Drosophila melanogaster: one gene and its partners. The protein of the gene in region 2 purifies or fractionates together with the protein of the main gene of each other region. This does not show direct contact. Each region holds a gene or a part of one and is shown on either strand. Other genes may lie near its edges.

The links.
Region 1: the proteins of Swt1 (region 2) and Cyp6a13 purify together in Drosophila melanogaster (affinity purification with mass spectrometry, with the first as the bait; one large-scale study listed by BioGRID). This does not show direct contact.
Region 3: the proteins of Swt1 (region 2) and Ald2 purify together in Drosophila melanogaster (affinity purification with mass spectrometry, with the first as the bait; one large-scale study listed by BioGRID). This does not show direct contact.

Annotation. Positions count from the first base shown.
Region 1 is NT_033778.4:8,568,729-8,572,652, reverse strand, and holds Cyp6a13 (cytochrome P450 6a13), read right to left. Parts: upstream 2,155-3,924; 5' UTR 2,123-2,154; coding exon 641-2,122; 3' UTR 506-640; downstream 1-505. UniProt on the Drosophila melanogaster protein: May be involved in the metabolism of insect hormones and in the breakdown of synthetic insecticides.
Region 2 is NC_004354.4:18,088,149-18,092,558, forward strand, and holds Swt1 (Swt1 RNA endoribonuclease), read right to left. Parts: upstream 2,362-4,410; 5' UTR 2,275-2,361; coding exon 2,169-2,274; intron 2,090-2,168; coding exon 1,835-2,089; coding exon of another isoform or gene 1,777-1,834; coding exon 1,147-1,776; intron 1,084-1,146; coding exon 860-1,083; 3' UTR 577-859; downstream 1-576. Other genes in the region: scu (scully), read left to right, coding at 3,234-3,242, 3,804-4,410.
Region 3 is NT_033777.3:26,412,467-26,416,763, forward strand, and holds Ald2 (aldolase 2), read left to right. Parts: upstream 1-1,621; 5' UTR 1,622-1,665; coding exon 1,666-2,464; intron 2,465-2,523; coding exon 2,524-2,723; intron 2,724-2,786; coding exon 2,787-2,882; 3' UTR 2,883-3,726; downstream 3,727-4,297.

The DNA of each region.
Region 1 (3,924 bases), on a different chromosome or scaffold from region 2:
TTATGATTTGATAATAAAATTTTCATTTCACAATTTAAGTAAATGTGGAGTAAGTTTTTCCCATGTGAAAACTGAATTACTTTATTTATTTATTTTGAAACATAACATAAAGTTTTCCCTAAATATTTAGAAATATTTTTGTTCTGTAATGTATCTTATCTTATTATAATTTGGCTTGCCAAACGTTAGGACAACCTAAATTAGATTTTAAACTATCCTTGTTATTAAAGATTTCTAAATTAAATTTTATTATTATAAAGCTTTTGAGCACAGTATTCTGACAGAGAGTATATACAAGACTGGCTTTTAAAAGCTTTTATTTTATATGTATGTACATACATCTAAAATTCGGATTGGTTAATATTTAAATTCAAAGACACCTTCTTTTAAGAATTCAAATTTCCAGTCAAAACATATTTTTAAGTCGTTTCTCTCCCTCTCTAAAATTGAATTCTTTTTTATTTATTTATCTATCATTATTCAATTGTAAAAAAAGCTTTTTGATACTAGACAGTTTCTTTGTGTTTATTTGTATAATGTAGGGATTAATGCAATCTTGGAACGCAGTCTTTTGTAGATAAGAGTTTTCCTATACATATTTCGCGCTGTCAGGATTATACACATTTTCAGATAACAACTATTATGGTCTTTCAAGTCCTTCCATCCTCAAATGAACTCCCTCCTGGGTGGATATCAGGAAATTACGACTGGAAAACTTCAGCGGGATCTGTGTTTTCTCCGACCTGCTGAACTTAAAATCCCTTAGAAGGTATACAAGACCCACCTTCACTTGCAGTTTACCAAAACGCTCGCCTATGCAATTTCGAGGACCCTCGCCAAAAGGCAAATAGGCGAAAGGATGCCTAGCCTTAATCTCTTCTGGCTCAAAGCGACTGGGATCAAACTTTTCTGGATCGGGATAAAGCTCTGGGTCGTGATGAATACTATGCACAGGTATTATTATCTTAGATCCCGGCTCCAGGATTAGGTTGCTATTCGGTATCTGGTACTCCTTGGTGGAACGCCTCAGTAAGTGAGGCAGTATAGGATACTTGCGAAGCGTCTCGGCAACCACTTGGTCCAGGTAGGGCATCTCCTGAACGGAGTCGTACGTGAGCTTTTGGTTGTTGCGTTTCAAAACGGCGAGTACCTCAACCCGTAGCCTTTCTTGGACATCGGGGTTGAGGGCCAGCTCATACAGGCAGAAGGACATGGTGGTGGAGGAGGTGTCGAACCCGGCCAAAAAGAAAACCAATGCCTGGGCCGCAATCTGCTCGAAGGAGAGGGCGTCTTTTACTCCCTCCTCACCCAATTCCATTAGTAGTTGGATCAGGTCGTTGCGATGAATATTCTCCCGTCGCCTGTAGTCCAATGTCTGGCGTACCGTGTCCAAGAAGAACTCACTGACCTCCGGGCGAAAAAGCCTGAAGCGCAGCTTCCTAGCCAACTCCGGCTGGGCAAACATAAAGGCCTGGACGAGCACCGAATGCAGGGGCTCCTGGGTCACTGATCGGCCCATTCGCCGGAACTGCGACTCCGGATCCTGGAGACTATTACACTCGAGGCCGAAGGCACAGCTGCCGATCACATCCGTGGTGAACCTGGCACACAGATCCTTTGCCTCTATCTCGCCGACCTGGAGGCGACACGCCTGCGTTAGCTTCTCGCCCACCTCCACCATGTTGGGGAACATGAATTTCATCTTGCCGGAGGTGAACACCTGCGTCAAATTCTGGCGCAACCAGCGCCACTCCGGTCCGTCCAGGAAGAGAAGGTTCCCGGTCAGTGGATCGTCCCGCACATTATGGAAGAGTCCTCGATCGGCGAAGCTGGAAAAGTCCCTGATCATTATATCGCGGATCAGTTCCAGATCCATGATAAACAGCGACTTGGTCATAAAAGTGAAGTAGCCGCAGTAGCGCTCCACTCCCCGAAACTTCCGGTAGATCCGCAGGTTGATATCCGTCCAGTGAAGGTCCCTTCCCAGCCCACTCATATTGCCGCGGAAGTACACGGGTCTTTCTCCGGCGACGCCCCTTCTGCTCCAGTAGCTGTAATGCCAGCGTAGCTTGACATATAGCAGAAGTCCGACGGTGAACACGAGTACCAGGAGCGTCAGCATGGTACCTACTGCTCGATAGAATAACAACTGAGTGGAAAAGTGGGGTACATTTGATTTGCCGTCTGAAAAGCTTTCGCTTCGCTCTCTTTTCGGGGACTCTCTTTCTCTATCGGTCTTATATGCAAAGAACTGCAGTTATCTAAACATACATAAACATATCTTGCGTCATTTTAAATGAGAATCAAATGATTTGTAAACAAAATATATAGAGCGTTGCTAATGTTCAGTTTTCAGATCAATTATTATTTGAAAATTTAAAAAACTTCACTGGCTAAGCGTTATTAGATTATTTACAAGTTTTACAAGTACATTCTAAACTTTCCAAAGTTAGTAAAATTCCGAGTCTATATGCGTTCCACTATGGCGCTGCGAGTGTCCGAAGCTAAGGGGATGTCTGTTAGGTCTGAATCACCGAACTTGAAGCGCTGACACAATGCCAATCTTGGCCTGCATTTTGCCAAAACGCAGACCTATGCAACTGCGGGGTCCAAATGTTCCGAAGGGCAGATATGCAAATGGATGGCGGGAGTTGGACTTATAAGCCTTGAGGCGGCTGGAATCGAAGAGTTTTGGATGTGGATATAAGTGCGGATCGTAGTGAACACTGTGCACAGGTATCAGTAATGAAGTTCCCTTCTCAACGATGAGCTCAGTATTGCGGACCCTAAAGCTTTCTTGTGTTTCGAGCAAAAATTTAATTAATTGGATGTTTTCGAAGAGTTTCTAAAAGTTAAGTTGCGCTATCAAATTTTCCATGCTTACCAGACAAGACCTGTTCTGGATAGTTAATTTTAGCTAAGGCGTCGTAAGTAATCGCATTTCCTTCCAGAACCCTTTCTATTTCATCCCTTATTTGATTCTAGATCTCCGGCTGGAGGGCTAGTTCGTACTTACAAGAGCTCATCGTACTGGAGGAGGTCTCGAATCCAGCCAAGAAGAACACGATGGCCTGGGCAGCCATTTGCTCCAGGGTCCAGTTGTGGGAGAGATCAAACTTTGACCCTCCTTGCCTGCTACTTCGTCCTCCGCTCGGAGGACTGGTCCATAAAGTCATTCCGCTTAATGCCGGTTTAACCACCGACAAGAAGAAGTCGGTCAAATCATCGCGAAGAATCTTCATTTTTAACTTTTTAGCCAACTTGGAGTTGGTAACTGTAAATGCGGCCCTTTCTTCTGAACTCGGCTTTGGGATTCGGGATCCACTATGTGCCGATTCCCTTGATGTTTGCAATCAGCGGTAGAGGACGCTCATGGGACACTCCCCGTTCTGGCCCAATATGTGTAGGTGTTGTAATAGAATCTATATAAGCCAACATTGGGACCAAACTGAATAATGCGAGAGTGAGCCGCATGGCGATCAAGATACTTCTTTGGATTAAGCTATCCAGCACACTGGTACGCGAAGTATTTTCTTGAAAGCTTATTGTTAGGTTCTAACGAATTTTCTTCATAGATCTCGGGAGCTTAATCGGCAATCAAGCAAACAATCAAACATATGTACAATATACATATAAACATTTGCTCAGCTTTTGAGTCGACAAAGCTTTTTCCCATGGTGAACTAGACGGTACTAGAAGATAAGGTTGTAAACAAATACTATATACATTGTTTAGTTTAAGTGTACTATTGTACATTGTGATGATATAACTTATTCTTTAAGAGGTAAAGTGAAGAGCATACTAGATTCGTTGAAAAGTTTAAAAGTAAAAGTTTGAAAGTAAAATATAGAAGGAAACCCTTTGAGACTCATATATGTTAGATCAGAATCACAGGAGTTTATATGTACGCCGGACTAAATATGT
Region 2 (4,410 bases):
TGAAAATTAAATGGATATCCGTAGATTTTACATGCTAAATGCTAAATTTGATTTTGTGTACATAAAAGTGGAGGGTGAGATTCGCATTATTCGCTAAATGAACTGAAAAACTTTCCGCTACTGGAATTTCCCAAAATTTTACGAGCACGTTGTTTTCCTCATGTCTTTCGCAACTATAAATATTGATTCACCCTATTTAACACTCCCAAATACATACACTTTGTATAGCTTAAGTTATCGCGCGGCAATAAAGTCGTCACTATCGAGAGTAAAGCACAGAATTTTCCACCATGGGAGTGAGTTTGGGAGGAGAGAAACCACCGCGCTGGGCGAACGCTGCGTACGCTTTGAGCTCGATCTGGCCGACGAAGCGGGCAAGTGAACTCCAGCGGATGTGGGGAATCCTCTGCCGTTGCTTCGATCTTGTTTGCCCAGCCGATAAGGCGCAATCAAAGTCGGCAACTCCAGCGTACGGCTAATTAAAGCCAAACAAGCGAGCCGGCCATCTTCGATCGGAGGAAGCCCTTCCGGGCCACGCGGATTGGCTATCTCTAGAACGCTAATCGCCAGGCAAATATATCCAGAAACAAACTTTATTATACGTAGCAAATGGCAGTCAAATCTGATCTTCTAATATGTGCAAGTTTTTAGTCTTGGGTGAACACGTCGTCAGTGGCCTTCCTCTGAATGTATGCTAGATGATGTTTGTGGGTATAAAGATTCATTGTACTTCATGTATGCCGCGGTGCATCTTGCTTGACTGGTCGATCCCTTTCGCCCGCCACCCGATCCCGTATCACAAACGCAGTCACAGTCTTTCGTATACTAAATGTAAGGTGGGAGCTCGGACGGCATCGAGTTAATCGCCGAAGCCAGCGAACTCATCCACATAGGTGGACATCAGATCAGAGCGACAGGAGACCTGAATGTTGGAGGCATTGGCCTTGAGCCGAAGGTTCGCGTCGTTGGTGAGCAGGATCATGTGGGGAACCTGCGCCTGCAGCTGCAGGCAGCAATTCAAAATGCTGTCATCCGGGCAGTCGATCTTGATCAGGTGATCCGCCTCCTCCAAAGCGGATTGAGCTGCAACAAAGATAATACACATAGGTAAGTTCCAACGATTTACATACACAATCCACGACCCACCTTGTATTTGAAAGCTTTCGTCGAACTTGGTGTTCAAAAAGCGTATTGCTCGCATGGCAATCACACGCTGCAGGCAGTCCGACTGGTACTTGCTCTTTAGCTTGTCCAGCTCTTTGATTACTATGTACGGAAGGTACAGCATGCTGCCCACCGTGCCCGGCAGCACCACATCGGTCAGTCTCTCCACGAACTTGTGGTTGTGTATGAGGACGTTGGTGTCCAGCACAAAGTACATGTAATCCTCAAGCCTTGGGGGCAGCTCCTCGGCATCGGCCGCCTGCAGCATCAATATAGTGTCGTCCTCTTCCTTAGCCTCATCCTGACCTTTCTGTGGCGCCTCCTCTTCAATGGACTCCGCCGGCAGCATCAATAGAGTGTCGTCCCCTTTCTTAGCCTCATCCTGATCATTCTGTGCCGCCTCCTCTTCAATAGACTCCTGCCATTCCATGGGCTCGACCTCCATATCGCTGGCCGTCGAGCCATCAAATGCACTTGGATTTGTGATGTTGCAGGCTTCTGGTTGTTTTTCTATCACCTCTTCGTTGATCTTGGCCACAATATTGTTGTTGCGCTCCTCATATAGCTGCTTCTGCTGCAGCGAAGCTCTTAACAGCATGAGACGCTGGTAGGCTAGGGAGACGATAAGGAGAACATGGGATATGAGTAACTATATGCACCGGGCACTCACCAGTTTGGGTACGTCCCGCCTTCAGGCGATTGGCATCGACCAGGGCTTTTGGCTTTTCCCAGGCATTCATCGCCACCTTAGGCGGAAACTTCAGGAGTCGCTGGGGCGTAGATGTGGACGCACTTGATCGACGAGATGCGGAGGAACTGTGGGTGATCCGCTTGGTGGTCCCCTGCTCCTTCTCGTTGTCCTGCACCCGCTTTAGTTGGCCCTGCAGGCGCTTGAGGCGGTCCTGGGCGGGATGCTGGCTCACTCCTTGCCATATTGCGTGGAAAAGTGGAGTTGAATCTTGGTTCTGGCATTCTGGCAAACGCGCAGTTTGCATGGGTTTTACCATTTGACGGACGTGGCGTGCTGATGATCCTAACCAGCTGGTCGTCGTCCAACGGCCTCAGATTGGAAGACTTTGGCGTGTGCTTACTTTCTCCACCGAGCGACATATTGTGTTCTTTAACATTTGATTTCTAGGAAGTACTCATTTATTTTGTATTTCAATAGGCAATCTGACTTAGAGGTGGAGAAACATCGATGACATCATCGATATCATCGATCTTTTCAAACAATCACAAGCATCGATGTTTTTCGAGGAATCATCGATGTTCTTCCATACATCGGAGGACAAAAGTATATAAATTGGGGGTATAAATTAAATTCGGATATAACTTTGTTATGATTTATTTAAAATACTCCTTATTTATATAAGCAATATTTTTTTTTAATTATTATTTATTAAGTGAAGTAATAAGAAATATTAAAAATGAAAATAATCTTAAATTAAACAGAAACAATGTTTTGTTTTTATTTAAAGCATAAATGTTTATGTTCAAATTAATTTAAGTTATAAACCATAAAATAAATTAAATGAGTATATGTAATTCTACGGCATACATTTTGGCGTGGAAGCTAAATACGAATTCATACAATGAATAGCTTATAACTAAAATTTACTGTAATAATCTATAGCATAAGTTGTTTTAAGCCATTGAATTTGAATAGCTAAAGATTTCATTTATAAAGACTTGAATGCTGCCACCTTAATTGTTGCAAAAACATGTTCTTGAAATAATAAGTTGCCAAGTTAGTTAGCTTGCCAAATAAAATCTTCACTGTTTGCCTGCTCGAGGTAATTTATATTTAAAAGTTCTTTCAAAATCTTGCAAATTAATTGCTTGGTAATAAACAAATTGATTTAAATTTAAATTTAAAAAAAAACTCAAAATTTAAAAGCTAAGCCAATGATAGGAGCCCCCTAACCGGTAGGCAGTATTTTCAAGCGGCGCACATACGGTCACACTGCACGGTTTCGAATCGCTTAACAAGTTTTTGCTTAAAAAGCTTTGCCGAGCACTAAGTAACCACCGCCTTTCGCACCCACAACACAACGCCACCAGCCAGAACAATGATCAAGGTACGTGGGGTGCTGTAAATAAGGATCACACTGCGATTAGACGGGAATTAGTGCAGCAAAAGCGGCCGATGACTGCGCGGCCGGGGTGCAAAGTCCAATTGGGATGTGAACTCGTGTCTATTATAAACATGGAGTCCCATAAATAACTGTATCTCTGCCCACAGCGATGTACCTTGTACCCAGCCAACAATTAGCATTACTTCCCCACCGAGTTATACAATAATACAATGCGGCTTATCGGGAAACTGGACACCGAACGCATCGGTCAGCTGCTTTCGAAATAATAAGATAAACCGGCATCGGATTATAAGTTTATCTGCAAATTGAGGATCGTGCTATTTCTATACTAACTTTAACGGACAACTTCTCAATGTTGTTAAAGATAAGGATCTCAGTCCTACAGATCGTATATTTTGCATTCTATATGCTTATTCTGTTAAGATCTCTAAACATTGATGTTGTAGTTGGGATGAAATGGAATGGAGTGCATTTTTAGAATCTATTTCCTTGGATATATACATATATATATAGTTTCTAACCCCATGCCTTTCCCACCCCCAGAACGCCGTTTCCCTGGTGACCGGAGGAGCCTCTGGACTGGGCCGCGCCACCGCCGAGCGCCTGGCCAAGCAGGGCGCCAGCGTGATCCTGGCCGATCTGCCCTCCTCCAAGGGCAACGAGGTGGCCAAGGAGCTGGGCGACAAGGTGGTCTTCGTGCCCGTGGACGTGACCTCCGAGAAGGATGTGAGCGCCGCTCTGCAGACGGCCAAGGATAAGTTCGGTCGTCTGGATCTGACTGTGAACTGTGCGGGCACAGCCACCGCGGTAAAGACGTTCAACTTCAACAAGAACGTGGCGCACCGCCTGGAAGACTTCCAGCGGGTGATCAACATCAATACCGTGGGCACGTTCAATGTGATCCGTCTGTCCGCCGGACTGATGGGCGCCAATGAGCCCAATCAGGATGGACAGCGCGGCGTGATCGTGAACACCGCCTCGGTGGCTGCCTTTGATGGCCAGATCGGCCAGGCGGCCTACTCCGCCTCCAAGGCAGCCGTGGTGGGCATGACCCTGCCCATTGCCCGTGACTTGAGCACCCAGGGCATACGTATCTGCACCATTGCACCGGGTTTGTTCAACACGCCTATGCTGGCCGCCCTGCCGGAGA
Region 3 (4,297 bases), on a different chromosome or scaffold from region 2:
GTCGGAAAGACGATGAAAAAATTGGCTACTTAATTTGGTAATAACAATAATTACGCCTGACTGACTAAACGCTGACCAGCGGCCAATTTAATATTAAAAAGACAGGAGCCAAGTGGCTGTCCATTGAATTCCCTAACCAATTCAGTGGGTATTACCGGCTGGTAATGATCATTGCTTGATTATTGGAGAGAGCCAAAGGCTGTAAAAAGCCAATTACCAAAACTTTCAAATCGTCTGTGCAGTGTACTGTTAACAGCTTTTTAAAGAAGAGGAAGTTCTGCAGGTTATTTAGTAGGTGTATAAATCAGTAAGAAAAATACACTTTCAATAAAAAATGCTCATTATCTAGCCTTTGGATCGTAATGTCAAAAACGCATACTTAAAAAACCAATTTAAATTTCATTACAACATTAATATTGTATTCATATTATATTGCTCGCCCACCAAAGAGCACCCAATCTTCGGTTTATTAATTAAGTTCCTCGCCATTTTCAATTAAAACGTTTATAGATAATCAATTAATAATTTTCAAGCCGCTTTTCAAGTAACTGGTGGCTACTGGCCGGCTGACTCAGCCGCTCCACGCTCAATTAGGTGCAAAGACATCTCGGCTGGCTGAGCCCGAACCGCAGTGGAGGATTTTCGCAGTTGATCATATTTATTGGCTTTGCGATTAGGCTCGTCGGACTTGCCGATCCGGCGTCTTGCCTCTGGCCTAATTGGGGGATCTAAACTTGAATATTGATGACGGTGTCGGATCGGATCGGATCGGATCGGTTCGGAGGAGAAAAAAACACAACAATCCAAAATGCGATGCAATTGTGGCTGTGCTGGCCGTGTTGTTTGATATTTATCGTACTTAATTTTTCGATGTGTTTGCTGTCTTGGCTATTTTTGGAGAATTTCACGTACGAGACTCATAATTCGTGCGATAATTTACACAAAATTAGGCAACTGTCTAGCCAGCGAACCTTTTAAAGCTATTGGAGCACTCCGATGCGTTTCCCACGCCAATTAGAATTAGTCGTCGGATCGAGCCGAGCTCAATTGAATTTCGAATGGACCTCGAAGTCTGTCAGATAATTGCAAGAGAAAATTGGAAAATTCAATTCACGCTCCGCAAATGGGCCGCAAAATGAAACATCACCTTTTATTCCACTTTGTATTGCCTCTTTTATGACACAGCAGAGCTTCCGCTTATAATTTGTGTTAACAAAACTTTAGCCATAAAACGTCCGAAGTGAAACTCATAAAACGAAATGTGTCGGTGCGGTCAGATATAATTAATGTGAGGCAAGTTTATTCTTTTCTGGCGCTTAATCTTCCCCAAATCTCTGCCTCTGGAAGTTTTTGACTCCCACTCTTTGCCAAAGCAATTAAAAGTCTAATTAGAATGTCATTAGACGGAGGCAAGTGCTAAATGGTCAGGTAGTAGGCAAGTATCGCAATAAATCTAAACTCAGCATCTTGATTAGAAAATATCAAAATAAGTGGTCAATTATAAATGCTTTGCGTAATATCTAATGATTTTGGGCTAAATCTCGTTTCATAACAAATTTTCAATCTAAAATTTAGCTTCCATGATTTTTCTCTCATTTTTTTAATCATTCAAAATTTCTTTCTGGTTTCTCACTTTCGTGAAGTCAAAATTCAAAGTAAACCGCAATGACTACGCATTTCTACTACCCGAACAAGGAGCTGCAGGAAGAACTCATCTGCATATCGAAGGCGTTGGTGGCTCCTGGTAAGGGAATCCTGGCGGCCGACGAGTCCAGTGCAGTGATGGGCAAGCGATTTCAGTTGATCGGTGTGGAGAACACGGAGGAGAATCGCCGGCTATACCGCCAAATGCTATTCACGACCGATCCGAAGATAGCGGAGAATATATCCGGCGTGATATTCTACCATGAAACACTGCATCAGCGTACGGATGACGGACTGCCATTCGTAGAGGCCCTCAGAAAGAAGGGCATCCTGACGGGAATAAAGGTAGACAAGCACTTTTCACCACTCTTCGGCTCCGAGGATGAGTTCACCACCCAGGGTCTGGATGATCTAGCCAATCGATGTGCACAGTACAAGAAGGAGGGCTGCAGCTTTGCCAAGTGGAGGTGCATCCTGAAGATCACTAAGAATACTCCTTCGCCGCAGGCCATTTTGGAAAACGCTAATGTCATGGCCCGGTATGCAGCCATCTGTCAATCGCAGCGACTAGTACCCATCATTAGTCCCGAGGTCCTGGCCACCGGAGATCATGACTTGGATCGGTGTCAGAAGGTCAACGAAATTCTCCTGGCTGGAGTATACAAGGCTCTTAGTGATCACCACGTTTTTCTCGAGGGAACTCTTTTGCAACCCAGCATGGTGATGCCTGGATTGCAGAGCAACAAAAATCATCCGCCAGCGGATATTGGAGTGGCTACAGTTCTCGCCATTAGGCGAAGTGTTCCTCCGGCCGTAATGGGTATGGATGTCTGTAACTAATATATGGGGCTTCTCTAATCTATGCATCCTTTTCTGCAGGAGTACTTTTTTGTGGTGGCGCTCAATCAGAAGAGGAGGCCACGGTCCATTTGAATGCAATTAACAATGTTCCGCTTTGTAAGCCTTGGGCCATGACCTTTGCCTTTGATCGGGCTCTTCAAACATCGATTTTGCGAACTTGGGGTGGCAAGAAGGAGCAGATTAGCCATGCTCAAAATGAACTTATCAAGCGGTGCAGGGTCAGTATAAATAACTAAGAATATAACCTCAAAACTCAAGTATTCTTTTAAAAAATATTTTAGGCCAATGGTCTTGCAAGCATTGGAAAATATGTAATTGGCTCTGTGGAAAGTTCAGCGGCCACTGAAAGACTCATTCAAGAAGCCGTCGAATTCTAAGGAATTCTAATCAGTTAAATAATCAAAATCTTAAATTTAATGGAACCACCTTCGATCTTTGTAGAGTAACAGTTAATTGGTCTGAACAATTTTAATTTTTGTGTTCGTCACAACGTGGGACTAGTATTCTGGAATTCCTAGCGAGTAAAGTGCTCCTTGGTGACTTCTGGCCACCACTTGACCGCAGGCCGTTTATGTGATGCCAGCCAGTCGGGGCGAACAAGTCGAAATATGGTTAACAAGCCTGCAAAGAGCAACATGACTCTTGGAGCGAAGTGTCGGCTTAATCCGCGGAGATTACCAGACGACCGCGCGACACGCAGCTGCGTTCAGAGTTCCAGCTACGCAGCAGCTTAATTAACGCAGGCGCATGCCAAAAACCAAACCGTTGGCCATGTGCAACAGCAACGGCAACAAGAGCAACAACAGCAGCGGCATCAGGGGCAACAACAGCTACAGCAGCAACATCAACAACAACAGCAGCAGCAACAACATAGGCAAGCCCGGGTTGAGTGTTTCGACTTAATCAGGCGGTTCCGAGCCGCTCAAGTCGGTGTCATGTTGTTGGCAAATTAGTCAGACTGCCACCAGGAATCATGGTAAGGTGAGGAGAGGGTTGCACGCAAATAGCAATAATTAAAATTAAAGCAGCCACTAACTTATAGCCTCGCCTTTCGCTGCAAAGTCAGCTCCTCCCAGTTGTCACGCGCAGTATTTTAAAACAAGCAACCAGCCACATTTGCTTCCGAGTGCAAGGACTCAAATGTACTTGGGGAAAATAAGAGTTAATATAGTTAATATAGAAATTCAATAGAATTAAATAAAATATTTTAACTTAACTTACAATATATTTTGATTTGGTTTATACATTTAAATATTTTTGAACACATAGTAAATCAAGATCTGATATAATCCTGGATACGCAGTTCCTCTTTAAGTTTGTGTCGCTTCACCTGCAGATTGTAGCGAAGGTTTGTCGTTAATGCAATCGTCGTGTATCACAGAGCCGCGGGATTGAATCCCCGTGATCCAACACCTCCCCTCGCCCGCACTCGAATTTAATTCTGAGTCCCAATCAGGCCAACGCGTACGACATGTCATGTTAATTGGGCCCCGCATATACGTATACAGCTGCGAGTGTATTCGCCGGTTGTGCATGTGTGTAAATTGCCATTATGCTCATGTTTGCTTAATATGTGGCACACAACACCCACCGAGTTCCGCTCGATTCCAGGCTATAAAGCGGCGGCTATATAGCCATAGCCACTCGACTATAGCAACGGCAGCACGCGACGCGTCAAGCCAATTAAAGCCAAATTATGGCAGCGCTTTTTTAATCACATGCATCGCTCTTCGCCGCTCAGTCGCTCACAATCAGTTACTCGGTTTGGCCGCCTATTCAATCACTCATTCAT